2 linked regions of the Rhinolophus ferrumequinum genome follow. The protein of the gene in region 2 interacts with the protein of the main gene of each other region in a pairwise test. Links are inferred from orthologs where the notes say so. Each region holds a gene or a part of one and is shown on either strand. Other genes may lie near its edges.

What was found.
Region 1: the proteins of FLII (region 2) and LRRFIP1 interact in binary tests that used the Homo sapiens proteins (3 or more experiments, as listed by UniProt). The link is inferred for Rhinolophus ferrumequinum from reciprocal best matches to the Homo sapiens genes FLII and LRRFIP1.

What each region holds. Positions count from the first base shown.
Region 1 is NC_046291.1:2,591,927-2,599,316, reverse strand, and holds the start of LRRFIP1 (leucine-rich repeat flightless-interacting protein 1), read left to right. Parts: upstream 1-4,281; coding exon 4,282-4,311; intron 4,312-5,710; coding exon 5,711-5,749; intron 5,750-7,390.
Region 2 is NC_046304.1:607,171-614,903, forward strand, and holds the start of FLII (protein flightless-1 homolog), read left to right. Parts: upstream 1-4,603; 5' UTR 4,604-4,964; coding exon 4,965-5,027; intron 5,028-6,768; coding exon 6,769-6,879; intron 6,880-7,117; coding exon 7,118-7,189; intron 7,190-7,733. Other genes in the region: MIEF2 (mitochondrial dynamics protein MID49), read right to left, coding at 1-683, 1,163-1,343, 1,500-1,656, 4,373-4,416. UniProt on the Homo sapiens protein: Is a regulator of actin polymerization, required for proper myofibril organization and regulation of the length of sarcomeric thin filaments. It also plays a role in the assembly of cardiomyocyte cell adhesion complexes.

The sequences.
Region 1 (7,390 bases), on a different chromosome or scaffold from region 2:
CTGTCTGGGTATTTCCACTCTGACTCATTCATTTCTTACTAGGTTACTGTTACTTTGTTTTCACTAACTCACCAAAGATAAACTGTTAGAACTCTGTCAGAATGGTAACTTGCACACAAAGTAAAACTAGTCCTCAGTGGCAAAGCAGATACCCATTTTTATAATAAGGATGGGTCCAGGGTCAGGGAAACCTTTCCTTGTCACTAAGATTTGTGACAAGGAAAAGGAGGCAGTAAATGTTCTCTCCTAGCCCACTGGCTGTTTTGTGTGCTGGTTTCTCATCTGTTGAATCAAAGCTATTTCTGAAAGTCAAGTACCTTTTCCATTAGTCTGGCTCTGCCCCCTCCCCCTGAAACCCCTTGCATGACTCACCACTAATCATAGTAGTTTACCTTTGAAATACTGTGTGCTTTTTGGAGTGTGCTGTGCTGGCCTGCTGGTAATATCAGGACTGCTGGTTAACTGCACTTGCGTGGACCAACATGGAATTGTACCTAGAGTTACAACAGCTAGCGGTAAGGCCACCCGTGAACTAGGTGGAAGATTTTGAATACTGGTTCTTATTTTTATCACAAAAAGAGCAATGGGTAATTGCAGCATTTGATAGCGGTATAAGATTGGCAAAAAGGAGAATATGAAAATAGAAAAGCCAATAATGGAGACTTCCTTTGGAATTTAAGCAGTTTTTTGTGATGGTATATAGGCCCTCGTCCGTTTATAAACCACATTTTCTTTCTAACTTTGTAATTACGCTATGAGATAAAGGAGGGTTGATGGCATCAAATTTTGCCTATCTGGAATTTGAGTGAGAGGGGCTAACATTAATTGAATGCAAAATAGCTTTATGCTGTTGCATTTCACTTAAATTGACGTTAAAACATGACTGGGAAGGGTTTACTTTTATTTGCTTTCTCAATTTATATTCTAAGGAAAGGACCTTTCAGAAAAAATATTGGCTCCTATACTTTTGATACTATAGGTCTGTATTGGTTGAATTTTTAAAACCTTATTAAACTCTCCGTCCTCACTTTTCTTCTTCCAATTTTCTACTTACACCATCTCTAAGAGAAGGGGCAAGACCATCAGAGAGCCAGAGTTTAAATCTGGCCACCCTTCAAAATAAACGGAGACTACACCAAACATAGCGGCAGCATGTTTTGGTCGTGGTAAAACAATTTCCAAAATTGTCTTGGACTTCTAGCATCCAGTTTTTTCCTTTTGATTATAAGGTTTTACTGTGTAAAGAGGGAAATCACGTCTGTTAGGTGATGTGGAGGTTTGGTTGGTTGTTCCTTGATTTTCTTCCTGGAAATTGAGAGGTAAGTGAAAAGCCCGAACCCCATTAGTTGAGCTGTACCTGGGTTCCCACCTGACTCTGCAATTAACTATGTTTAGTAACAGTAATAGCCGTTCTGAATCTGCTCGTCTCATTCTGAATTGGACCATTGTGGATCGGACGAGTCAGACAAAGGCATGGAGGCATTAGCTAGAGAAAAACGCAGAGTGTAGCTTACGAACGTAATTTTTTCCCTTCAAAGACCTCTGTGTAGGCCACTCGGTCGCCCTTTCCTTAGTGGCTGTAAAGACATCCAAAGTTTGTCAAGTCTCCTGGACCTAAATTTAGCACCAATATCAGGTAGCGGGAGCAAGTGCCCCAGAAATCCAGGGGTGATCACAGTTGCTCCCCGTTTCCTCTAGGTTTTCTCTTTCCTTTTGCAGTGACACGGGAATGACTCCCAGCTTGTGCTTCCCCTGCACGGGGTCCATTCCTGCCGTGTGCTTGCTGGAGCCGTGAACTCCTTTGCAGAGGGCTCGAAATGCCGCCGGGCTGTGTAAATGCCTCGTCTCTACGGAGGCCGCCCCTCGCCCATGAGTGCTTTGTCCTGGGCTCCCCGGGCTTGCCCAGGGGGCAGCGGGATGGGCAGGGTTTGTGTTCCCAGGCCCCCGCCTGGGCAGCACTGACCCTGCAGGGCCCGAGCTGTTGCTACTGCTTTGTCTTGCCGTGTCACCCTCTCCGTGTGGCTTGGGCAGGAGCTTGGAAATGCATGTCAGAACAGTTTCTTATTACATTTCACTTGTTGCCTAATTTTCTTTCCCTTCTGTCTATAGAAATATTATGGGCTGGACACAAAATGGGGTGACATCGAGCAGTGGATGGTAGGCCTTGAATATGATTTTAAGATACGTCCATGGTTTATAATTGGATTCTTACACAGTTTAATTACACAGATAGATTCCTGTTGCACCATAATTTAATCCCGAGAGGTTTCTTCCGGGACTTGTGCATCTGGCCTGTTTGGTTACTTCCTGTGTGAGGCCTGGTTGGACCGGCCCTGGCCAGGCGTTGGGTCTGGTCTGTTCAGTACAAGCTGACTCCTGGAGTCTCCAGGCGGCTGTTTGTGGAGGTCTCTGACCTCCTGGGGCAGGGCACTGTCCGCTAGGGACACGTGGCCGGGAGCGTGTGTCCCCAGCATGAGAACTACCGTTGCCAGCCCATCTCACCAGAGGTCACACACTCCATTTCCTTCATTTACGATCACAGCCACCTGCCCGGTCACCCTCCTGCTGACCTTTATCCACCTTCACCTTTGGGTGCCCCCCCACCCCACCCCCCACCCCCCGTCTGCTGTGCCCACAGAAGCCATTGTCTTTGGGTGAGAAAACGCCTTCTCACCATTTTCCCAGGACAGCTTCTCTGCCTTCCTAAGTCAGTAGAGAGCTGGCTCATCCCTAATGATACCCTGTCCTCACGACCCCCCAGGAGGAGATGGTGCCCCGTGGCGTGAGGCTCCAGAAGGGACAGCATTCTGCTTGCTGCCCACGGTCCAGAGAACCTGGCTTCGCCCCCTCTCTCATGAATTCATGCACCTGAGTGCACTCTGCCTCTTCCTGCCCTTGTCACTGGCCTCTGGCCATCACACCTTTAGCATTTGAGAACCTGGCCAGTATGGAAATGTCTGTCCTATTATAATAAATGCCCCTTATACATAAAATAAGCCCTTATACAGGAAATATAAAATGGCCTCCTCACATCTCACCTGTATAAAATATCAAGGACAAGAGTTCTGAGAATACACAGAGCACACATTCTCCACCTAAACCATGATTAACCTCAACTTTCACTGTGTGTAAACCATCATTTTCGGCTTACATGGCACAGGCACATGTAGTTTTTATCGCCTCTTAAGACGCAGTTAAAAGGTGCGTCATTGTTTTCTGTACCACCGAGAAAAGCAAAAACTGCTGATTAGAACTGCAGGCAGCTCTGATTATAAGGTGTACCCCAGCCTCAGCGATGTCCAGATGTGAAAAACTGGGGGCATCGCAGAAGGCACAAAATACAGCGGGGAGCGTGCTGTCCCATTGGGCCTTCTGATTCACGAGGAGAAAAAGATTCTGAATGTAAGAAAAACGAAAGGGGTAGATTTAAATGGACCAGACTACAGCGCTTAGAAAAAAATTAAGACTCAGCTTCTCCTCCAACACACACTTGTTTTTAAAGGCAAAATGAAATATGCTAACTATTTGTGTGCTTAAATACCCCCCTTTAGAAGAAAGCATTTCTCCCCAGTGATGTAAGTGAAGGCTTTAGGCAAAGACAATACTTGTTTGACATTTATGTCTGAAATATTACTGTGTCGTGACGCAGCGGGACTGCCTGAGGCGTGTCCCTTGTTTGTCTAACCTTCCATACTGTTTTCTCCATTCTTTGGTAGGAAGACAGTGAGCGCTACTCCCGTAGATCGAGGAGAAACACATCGGTTAGTACGCGTTCATTCTGATCGAAATCTAAGTTGTATTTTTAGTGGTTGAAATAGAGATATGATACATGCATGGATATCTCAGTGATGTTAATTAAAGTCGTTAACTAAAACTGACATTAGTACCTAAACAAAGACTGTGGACTCAGCTTTTAACATTTTGATCTAACTTGGCTGGGGGGAGAGAGTGTTTGAGAAATTTCGGAGTATGAATATATTCCTGATAGTTTTCGTGGGTTTTTTGCTATCAAATACCCATGAATACTTTGCAGAGTAATGTGCATCGAGGGTGTGTATCAGCTCTTGAATGAAATTAATTGAAAGCCGTATTATCCAAAAACACCCTCCGTCAACAGAGATGCACAGACACAGCTCCTCGGCCAGGACCTCGGCTCAGGTCCACTGAGACTTTTTCCGAGGCTCCCGAGGGGCGGGGCCCCACGGCTGTCGGTTTCTCTCTGTGTTACAGTCACGCTTGTTTCATCCTTTCTCTCACTAGGCTTCTGATGAAGACGAGCGCATGTCAGTGGGTAGTCGTGGAAGCCTGAGGGTCAGTAACCTGCGTGGTCCGGTTGATGGTCCGAGTGCTTTGCTCTTTCATCCCTGCCTTCGTCCTTCTTCTTCGTTGTCCCTGGAGTCTTGGGGTCAATATCTAACGGACATAATGCTTGTTTAAAATCTAATCAGTGCTGGGCTGTTTCCTTGTTGTTGTAGACAGAGTATTAATAAGCGATGCACTTCTCCCAAGAGGGGAAGTCGTAATGTTTCTTTATGTATTTGTCCACATCACAAAACGGCCACCCCTTGACTGAGGTGTGAGGAAGGAGAGTGTGAAGGCACATTCTGTCAGTCACGTCCTATTTCACACACTCCTCAGTCAAATTTGAATCTCAGGGAAAATAACCGCAAGTTAAAATAATTACCATCCAGCGGTGTTTTGCGTAGCTTCTCAAAAGCTGCCGTGGGCTGCCTGGAGGAAAATCGGAGCAGATTGGATCTGTAAGGTCTCTGCCTGCTCACCTTCAGGAAATCTTCCTTTCTTCCACTTGGTGAAATCTCTTCGTCAGTGTCAGCTTAATGGTTGATAAACCCAAATACATGTTTCTCCTTAAACAGTCCCAAAATATTAACAGGTATCTTTGAAAAACTGTGTGCTTTGAGCAGGGCGGTAGAGAAACTGTGTGTAAGTCAGTAAATGAATCTGGGCGTGCCAGTTTAATTTGCCTTGCGGTTACAAGTCTGTGTCACTGCTGGTAATAATGAGGCCTCAAGACAGCCACCACATTTTACTTAATGACCCCATAGAGCGGGAGGTTTGTTTTCATCACGGTGACAATTAAATCATAAACCACTCCTAGACTTCTCGTATAGGCATTCAGTGTGCTGTAATGGGGCCATTTGTAACAATAAACCCTGAAGGTGATACCCTGGTGTGCTGTTGGGTGACTGTTATCATGGTCCTTGCGCTGCCAAAGGCAGATCCACAGTGACTTTGCCAGAAAGTTCCAAAGTCAGCTAAAGAGGTTCCTTGACCCTACGGCTGTCATGTCCTCACCGTTTCACGCCAGAGGAAGGAAGATGTATGCAACCAAAAACATTACACATGCCACACTCACTTTGCAGAATCCGAGGTAAGACCCAGAAATCAAGCTGTCGCATACGTAGGCTCAGGAGAAGGTTGAGTATTTTGTAGAGGAGGAAATAAAATTGCTCAGACTGCTTCAGATTTTAGGAATTACAGCAACATTTGCCATGGAGGTTTTATTTAATGTATTGGATTTTATGCTGGCTATTGTTCTAATGTAATTCCTGTTGCAAATACACGTGAGAGTTTGTTAAGATTTTAAATATTGCCTGTTTTGTTTTTGCTGTGATTTACTTAGTTTTTTTTGACTGATTTTGGCAACTCTCTTTTCTGTTGTTTTCCTTTTCCATCCTTACTTTGACAGTCGCAGCCTGACTTGCAGTCTGGCGGTCCCTGTGCCTGGGTGAGATGGTTGGATAGACTTGCAGTGTGATCCTAACGTGTTGTGTGACAGATAATAACCAGCGGTGTTTCAATTAATACCATTGTCTAAAAATCCAACAACATCTTTGTCTGAAAGACACATGCCACGTACCAGTCTTTACCCGGAGACTGAGGGCCAGAGGGAGGTGAGCCCACCAGAGTGTGTGGTCTTCTCCCACAGCTTCCTGGGCACAGCTCTGAGCCGCCTGGTCGGGCTCTGGAGCCCAGATATGGGTGCTGCCGCCCCACCCCCGTGGGGTCTTTGAATACCAGCTATTGGCCCCACACTGAGCCAGCAGCATGGAGCCCAAGAAGGGAAAAGGTGTCGTCTTATTTTCAAGGAACTCAAAACAGATCCAGAATTCCCCAATTCTCCATTTCTTTAAGATGTTCGAGTCATTTTATCTGATGGAAAACCCATTATTTTCTAATCCATATCCGTTCAAATTAAATGTACCGCCTGGTTGGTTCTTTTGCCACAAAGTGCCGTTTGAAAGAGACCTCTCAGTTCCAGAAGCAAGACGGAGGTTTTAGATTCAAATTCGGAATTTCCCATCTTCCGTGTGCCAGGAGAGTTTCTGCCCCTCGTGCCAGGGGAAGGCCTGTACATGTACATGGCACTAAACGGAAGAAAGATTTCTCCTCAGCAGAAAGGGCCCTCGGCCCAGGGCGGTCTGGCACTGACGCCATCGCAGCACACTTCTTCACTTAAAGAACTTTTCTGAAAGTGTTTTGTGCTTCATTTCTGCCCTCCCATTTCAAAATTACTTAGCAATTTCCTGTTTTTAAAATGGATTTTTACCGTTAGGGGGCAATGATCAGCGCCATACATCTGCCTGCATGGCAGCCTTGGTCCTGAGCCTCCTGGTGGCGCTGCTGTCCCCATGTGAGGGGCAGGAGATGGAGGGTGGAGTGAATTGCCTAGGACAGGGCGTCGCAGCCCTGTGTGGCCTAAGCCACCGGGAGGGAGTCCTGGGGGGACAGGTCATTACATGCAGAAAGAGCACTTCCACAGTGGCTCTGGCTGGCGAGGGCATTTCTGCGACAGTCATTTTAGCAACTCTTCTGTCCTCTAAGTAATTAAATGCGTTAGCAACATGTTTCTAGATCGTTAGCCTTTTTATTTTAAACGCACAGTGAAATTATATTTAAGGGCCAGTCTCTGGTGGAATGAAAGAACGTACATGTGAGCAATAGTAGGGACACTTTGTGCATTTCAGTTTGATTTTCAGCTTTTATTCTGTTTTAAAACTAAATGGAGGGCATCAAGTAGCGCCCGTACAAGTTTTGATTTTGCCGTTCTTATTTTGTCTCCCATCTCTGATGCCCTGGCAGGTGAGCTGTCTTTTGACTCAGTAGAAAACTAATCTCACACTGTTAATCAGAAACGCTAACAGTTGCCTTCTGCATGGTCCCGTGTGAAGTTTGTTGGTCCTCTGCTAGTGCTGCATGGTGGTGTTTCACTTTCGGACCAGTCACAGCTCACCCCTATAATCTCTGGTTTTGACAGGATGTTTATTCTTGTACCTTATGTATTCTCTTTTAGAAAATGCTGATTTGTGAACGAATGCCCTTTTTATTTTGGTTTCTCTGGTTGCAGTGCTTTTCGATGTTGCTATGT
Region 2 (7,733 bases):
CAGCCAGAGGTTCCCGGCCAGCCCTTCCAGGGGCCAGGCCACCAGGAGGCAGTGTTCGGCGTCGCCGGGGACTGCCAGCAGCACAGCGATGGTGAGCTCCAGGTGCTCGTGCTGCACCTCGAGTAGCAGCTCCTCCGAGGCCACACTGGGCAGGATCAGGCACCCGAGCAGGCTGCCAATCGCTGGCCAGTTGACGGAGGCCGTCAGTGCCTTGCGGAGCAGCCCCAGCAGGACGCGGGAAGAGAGGTAGCCGCCCACCAGGAAGCGGTCCCAGGGGCTGCTTCCCCGGGGGCGGAACTCAAGCTGTGTCCTGCGCACAGCCCAGCAGCGAGGGTCCCTGGCCACAGTGTCCACGCCTGGCACCAGGCTCCACAGGCCCGGCTCCAGCATCAGGGGTGCCAGGAGGCGCACATGGTCGGAGCAAGCCCCCACCTGCAGGCCATCATAGAGCGGCCCCCCGGGGACAAGCGCCCCAAAGGGCAGTTCAGGGAACTTGCTCTGCAAGTAGGCCTGGAGCTCCAGGGCAATGTCGCCGGCCAACTGTTTGGCCAGAGCCACGTGGGACATTGCGGTGGTCACGTGGTCCCGCTCGAACAGCAGCAGCTTCTCCTGGAACGTCAGGCACAGCGGTGCTGGGAGGCCACGCTGAGGCGGCGGCGGCGGCGGGTTAGCGTCTGCGGGCCCTGCAGCAGAGTGAAAGGCCAGAGAGCCGGTCAGCAGGCCCTGGGACAAGCCGAGAACTCCACCCCGGTTACTGACTGTGCCAGCCCTGGGCCTTTTTCCTCACCTGTAAAATGACCCCGAGAAAGGACTTTGGTCCTCACGTACAAAGAGCACTTTGACGACAAATTCCCATTGCCCAGACCCCAACACTCTGGGGCCGAAAAAGCTTCATGCAGAGTGGGGAGACAGGTCCTGAGCCTCAGTTTCCCCATCTGAGGCCCCCCCACTGTCATAAGTCTGCTGCCCTGCTCCGCTACCACCCCCTCCGCCACATGTCCCAGCAGTTGGAGCCTCAGTAGTTGGAGGGCAGAGAAACAGAACCATTAAACATGCAAGGAGCCTGCAGCAGTCAGTCAGTGGCAGGTCCTGGGCTGCATCTCCTGAATGTGACCACCAAAGGGGGACCCACCCCGGTCAGCGGGGAAGGGGTGCCATTCACCGTGGGCAGAGGGCAAGCGGGCGGGGAGCAGCACAGGCTGGCTAAGGGCAGCAGGTGGGGACCGGGACTGTAGGCGTGGAGCGGTCTTGAGCAGGCTCAGTTCCTTCCAACTGTCCTCCAGGCATGTGCTGTCCCCCTTGGTGTCATCTTCATCCCGAGGGCTGGTGGCCCTGTCAATCAGCTGCGGGCAGAGTGACAGAGATCAGAGCGTCCAAATCCTGGGCAGCCACGGCAAAGCCCAGGGGCAAAGCAAAGCAGGCTGCTGGGTAGAGAAGCAGGTGCCAGTCCTGGGCAGGCCCCGGCCCTGGCATCCTCCCCTGTGAGCCCCAGGCCTTACCCGCTTCACAGCCAGGGTGGCAATACCCAGCACGGCAGCCCCGCCCACGCCCAGCACCAGGCGGGCATTGGCCAGGAGGAAGTCCACAGCATTGCCCAGCACGTCGTCGTCATGCCGCTTCCCCCGCTTCTGGAAGAACAGTACCATGTCTGTCTGCCTGTAAGAGAGCCAGGGTGCAGGGACCACTGAGTGTGGGGGCAGCCAGGCTGGCAGTGCGGCAGGTGTGGGTAGGCACTCTGGCTGCCATCACGCTGGGGTCTCTGAGTCAAGCCCACAAGGTGGATTCCCGAGTTTCAGAAGAAAGGGGCCACTCAAGGGGTTTCTTGTGAGGAGATGGGGAACTGCCTGAGCCCCCTTCCCCAAACCTGTCAACAACCCACCCACCCCCTGGACAGGGGGGCTCACACAGAAAGGCCCTGGATAGGTCAGAGAAGGGGGCCCATCTCCCTGACCCTCCCACCCAGGACTCCTGATGTCACCAAAGACTCATGAGGAAGGTCTTACCATCACCCCAATTTTACAGAGAAACGGGCTGCTGAACCATACGTAAGTAGTGGGTTCTTGGATCCACGACCGCCAAGCCTCCAGACTCTTGCCCACCCCCCGAGTCCCATCAGACCCCGTCTGCGGTCAGGTCCTAGAGGCTGCCTCACCCTGCTTCCTCACCCCTGGCACAGCAGGAGGAAACAAGGCCCAGAGAAACCACAACGTGGGGTCCCAGACAGCCTGCCCTGGAGCGCGTCTCAGACCTCAGTGAGGCCAGTCACCCCCAAATCTTGACAAGGTAGCCGCCAGAGGCAGAGCTATCCAGTGAGATGGCCCAGGCTGTGGGGGGAGGAGCGCGCACGAGCTGCCTGTCAATGGACATGTGCTGGTCAAAGCCAAAGGCCCCGCTGCGGGGACAGAGGGCAAAGTAAACACGAAGACTCCAAGCAGAGGACGGGCCCAGGGGCCAGGGACCTCTCTTGGCCTCTTGGGCTTGGGACAATGGGGAGGTGGGGAGCTGCCCTCAGCTGCACGGAGCCCAAAGAACAGAGAAGGTAAGCTGAGCGCCGGAAGCCTCAGCTATCTGCTCACCTGTAAAGTGGCACAGACAGGGTTAGGGAGAGGAGCCCAGAACAGTGGGGCTGGGTGGGTCAGGCACTCGGGAGGCAGAGGCAGAGACCTCTCCCACGGCCCCATCCACCACGCCCCAGCGGCAGGTTCCTCTAGGGGGACTCCTGCCGTCAGGCCCTGGGAGCTGAGAGTGTGTGATCAAGAGGGACGCTCAGGGGACCGACCAGTCAGACACCAGGCAGCACTGGCTCACTGAGGACACCTGAGCAGATGACCCTGAGCTCGGAGCCGGCTAGGGCACCAAGGACTTCCACCCTCCCTGCCTGGGGCTGTGGGCACTTAGGGCTGTTGCCAGGTTACGAGATGCCAGGACAACACCCGCCCCGCCCCCCCATTCGCCCAGACTAAAAATAAAAACCGGCTCCGGGGCCTGGGTTGGTGAAAGGCTGGCAGGGTGCCCACTACAGCACAGCAGTCAGTTCTCTCACAGGTGACCGGTATGGCCACCTGCCTCCAGAGGGACGGGGAAGCCACTTTGCAAACAGTAAAGTGCTTTCAATACCCCACACCTGTCTAAGCTAGGACTCAGCCCAAACCCTGGCAGGGTCGCGCAGGCCCCAACACGCAGCCTGCCCACTCGAGGAAAGGGAGGAGGGCGCGGGGGTTAAAAATAACCTGACTGCGCAGCCTGGCGGGGTAGAGCCCTGGGATGCCGCTTGTCCTCCCCTCCTCCGCCAAACCCAGGACGGGGGCTGAGCGGGCCGCGGAGCAGCCCCTGAAGACCTGTCAAGGCCCGGCTCACAGGGGACCTCACCGAGGCCCTGAGAAACTAAGTGATGTACCCGAAACGGGATTCGAACTCCAGCCTGAGGGCCCAAAGCCATTCCCTCCTTCTCTGGCGGTGACCGCCGGCCGCAGCGGTGGCCCCGCCCCCGACTCTCCACGCCGGGGCTGGGTGACCCGGGCCGCCCCGCTCGGGCCGTACCTGCGTCGCTGCTTCAGCGCACCAACTGTCGGAGGTAGCGGGTCTTCTTGGGCCCCGGACCCCGACCCGCCCGGGAATGGAATGGGAAGGACCTGGGAACCGAACGCTAAGGCTCCGGGGGCGGTCGCTGACCCCGGAACGCAAGCAGACGAGCAGGTCCTAGCCCCAATCGGAGTGCTCAAGGCCCGCTCCCTCGTTCCAAAATACTATGCGGTTCAGCCAATGGTGACCAGGCCACGCCCCCTAACCGCGTTCCGCGCTCTGCGGAGGTGGGACTTTCTGACGCATCCCGGATTTAAAGGCGCAGAGTTGTGTTCCGAGCCTCCCGCCCAGCGGTGTGGTGGCACAGCCGGGGGTTGCGGAATGAGCTGGCTGGCCTTCCGGGCCCCTTGTGACGTGTGTGTGATTGTAATATGAGCTTCTGGTTTGGAGAAAATTATCAGCGCCCCCGTTCCTTCTAGGGGCAGGGCAGACAGTCGGCACTTGGCCCAGAGGCGCGCAGGTCTGACCCTTTAGGTCACTTCTGCGAGAGTGCCTTGGTGGCCTCGTTATTATCTGTTGGCCTGCGGGGCACACAGCGTGACCCAGAACTACCCCTGCCACCAGCTCCGTGTGACCTTGTGCCGGCCACTTCTCCACCCGAGCCTCAGTTTTCTCTCCCGTGAAATGGAAACGCCAGGCCCCCTCCACCCTTGCGAAGGATGGTTGTGCATATGACCTGTGGTTCATTTGTTTATTGGGGAGCGACTATGTGCGGGTCAAGGGGAGCGAGCAAGCAAATGAATGGACGTGAGGGGCTGCTGACTCTAAGCAGAAATAACGCGCCACTTACCGAGTGCTTTCTGTATGCCGTGAGCTGCAGCTGCGTTTGTTCATTTGTTTCTGGCGACAACCTTAGGAAGCACTTCACAGATGAGGAGAAACAGGCCAGGAGGAGGTCTGGGCTTGCCCACAGCTCCGGGACGCTAGGGCCTCTGCGTCCCACTACCGCTGGTAGCCACACAGGGCCCAGGGGGTGAACAGAGACTCCCGGGCCTTCTGCGCCCCCCGACCTGGGTCCAGAACCTCCCCGGCCACAGCCAACTTCAGTTGCGGCTGCAGTGCAGCGGACAGCGCCCGTGACACAGCCCCGGCCCTGGGGCTCACGGACTTAGCCTGGAGGTTATGAAGCCACCTGCGGGGAGCACCGGGACGCCCGGACTCCTCGAGGTCCCTCCAGTACTCGGACAGACAGGGAAACTGAGGCCCGGGGAGGCCTAAAGACGCCAGGGGAGGGGGCCGGGGCTAGAGGGGTGGGGCCTGACTCCGCCTTCCCGCCGGCCCGGGCGGGGGCGAGTTAAAGGGGCGGGGTCGGCGCTGGCCCAGCCCGCGGCTCTCCCAGCCGCCCCCAGCGTCTGGCCCGGCCCGGCAGCAAGAGCAGCGCCATGGAGGCCACTGGAGTGCTGCCGTTCGTGCGCGGTGTGGACCTCAGCGGCAACGACTTCAAGGTGAGGCGACCCGGCGGCGGGCCGGGCCCCGCTCTAGGCCGTCTCTTCCGCTCCAGCCCGCACCGGTCTCTGCTTCCTGTCCCGTCCGCCCCCGGGCCCAGTACCGCTCGGGACTGCGGGCGGGGCCGGGTGGGGCTCTCCCGGGGCTCGGGTTCCCCGCCCGGAACGGATCCCCAAGATCTCCTTTCGGTGCCCTTACGGGAAGACCGAGGCCGGGTCGGGCCGGCGTGGACGCTTGGGTTCGGAGTCACGCTAGGGATGGGCTGAGAGCCCCCACCCCGTGTCATCGTCCTGGCATCTGGGCCCCGCCGGGGCCGGAGAGTGGAGCGGGGTCGTTGAGCTCTGCTCCCACCTCCCCAGCCCCCCTTCCCCGTCCCGCTGAGGTCACACGCCCAAGCCAGGCCCTGACTCACTGTCGCGCTGCAGGTTGTTGGGCTGTCCCCGGGCGGGTCTGGAACTCTTCACGGCCACTGCTTTGTCCCTGCCACCGCCATACCCGTCCTGTGTGGTCTTGGGCAAATCACTTCCTGTCTCACAGCCTCGGTCTTCTCATCCAGTAAAGGGGCTTAAAAGTAGTCCTCTTGGAAGCATGGATTAGTTGGTGTGGAGAGTGTGTCAGACATTTGTGCGAGGCCCTGGGTAGCCGTTGTTTGAGCAGCTTATGGACTGACAAGACCAGGGCCACAAGGAGCCTGAGCCCAGCCTTCCAGCCAGTTAGTGGGCGAGGTGGCTCTAGAGGCAAGGATGAGGTGAGCAGTGCCGGTGACCAGAGGAGTCAGGGCAAGAGTGGAGGTGAGAGCTGCCTGGAGTAGTACCAAGAGGGGCAGCCCCTGCTGCAGGGTGGGTGAGTGGGCAGACTCAGGCCCGAGTCAGTTTAGCGTAAGGGAGCCCAGGCTTCGGCTGGGGTCGTGGGGCCAGGACTGAGGGGAGGCTGGTTCTTCCTGCACTTACCCACATGTGCACACACCTTTGACCCCATGCACCGGTGGCCACACCACTTTCAATGCCTCCATTCGCACTAATCTCACCTGGGGTCTCCTTGTGTCCTCTTCAGACGCGGAGTCTGAGTCACTGGCGGGGAACGTGGCTATAGGGGGAAGGGGACACAGCCAAGGGCACTAAAGGCACATGCTATCCCAGGCTCCCTGCCACAAGGGCTGGGGGTACTGGGGTGGGCATTTGAATGTGGGGAATGAATGGGTAAACAAATGAACAAGGCAGTGCCTGTGCAGGGTGGGGAGCTGGGGCCTTGCACCGGGGGTTGGGCCTTGCCATAAACGGCTTGTATGCTGATGGCAGGGTGGGGGCACAGGTGGGACCTTGGCACAGCCTCAGGGGGTACCCTCACTTCTGGTGGCCCAGGCAGAGCCTGGAATGCTGGGCAAAGGCATGTGAGCCACACAGCTGGACACTGGAGGTGTTACCTGGAACAAGCCAGTTTCATCCCGACCCTCCTGGGACTCAGAATCCAGCAAGAGAGACAGATCTTAGGCCAACAGCCATGCTGATAACTACTTGGTCCTCACAACACTTTTGTCCTCAGAGGGCTTTTATTAGCCCTATTTTATGGATGAGGAAATGGAGGCACAGAGTGGCAAAATGATTTGTCCAGGGTCACACAGCTGGTGAGAGTTGGCTCTGTTGCTCCCCAAAGGCTTCCATGGGCAGTTGGGGACGATAGAGGGTGGTAGAGCAGGGACGTTCCTGTCCCAGACCAGCCTCACCATGGCATACCCCCCAGGGAGGCTACTTCCCTGAGAATGTCAAGGCCATGACCAGTCTGCGATGGCTGAAGCTGAACCGCACTGGCCTCTGCTACCTGCCAGAGGAATTGGCTGCTCTGCAGAAACTGGTAAGGGGCTTTCAGCAGGCAGGGTGGGTCCCTGTGGGTGGGGCTGGGCCAGGTGGGCGGAGCCTGTGCAGAAAGCCGCGGAGGAAGATGCTGATAACCACGAGTAGAGCTGGCAGAGAGGGAGGGAGGCTGCACGGGTGGACTGCGCCATGTGTGGCTGAGGGCCACCCCGGATGGTGCAAGACTGTGGTGGCAGATGGGGCCTCCGCTGAGCCTCTGCTCCCTTGTCCTGGCCCAGGAGCACTTGTCTGTGAGCCACAACCACCTGACCACGCTTCATGGGGAGCTGTCCAGTCTGCCATCGCTTCGGGTGAGTGCTGCTGGAGGCCACCATGCTTGGAGGTGGGGATTCGAGTCCAGCCAGAGGTGTGAGGACAGAGCCAGACCCAAGCTGGACTAGCACCTCTGCCTATCCCTGTGTCAGGCCCAGGGGCCTGTCCCTAAAGGGGAGAGGATATAATGATGCCCTGTGTTAAGTAACCCATGGGGCAAAACGTAAAAAAATCCAAAATCCCACCCTTTTTGGACAACTACAATAACAACAACTAATAGTGGCTAAGCACTGCTCCGACTATTTCCACGTGGGTTTTTTCTTACAATCCTGACTTCTCCCAATTTCACAGATGAGGACACTTGGCCGCAGAGGCAGGTCACTTGCCGGAGGTCACACAGCCACACATTGGCAGAGCTGGTGTAGGATGGGGTTTAGCCGGGAGGGGAGGTAGTCAGGGTGCCTGCTCACCCTTCTGCTTTTCACAGAGCCTCTGACATCCCAGAACACCCGGCTCTCGGCCAGACCCTTCTGGCCTCAGCAAAGGTCGTCCTGTCCATGGCTGGAGCCCTGAGATGTTAAG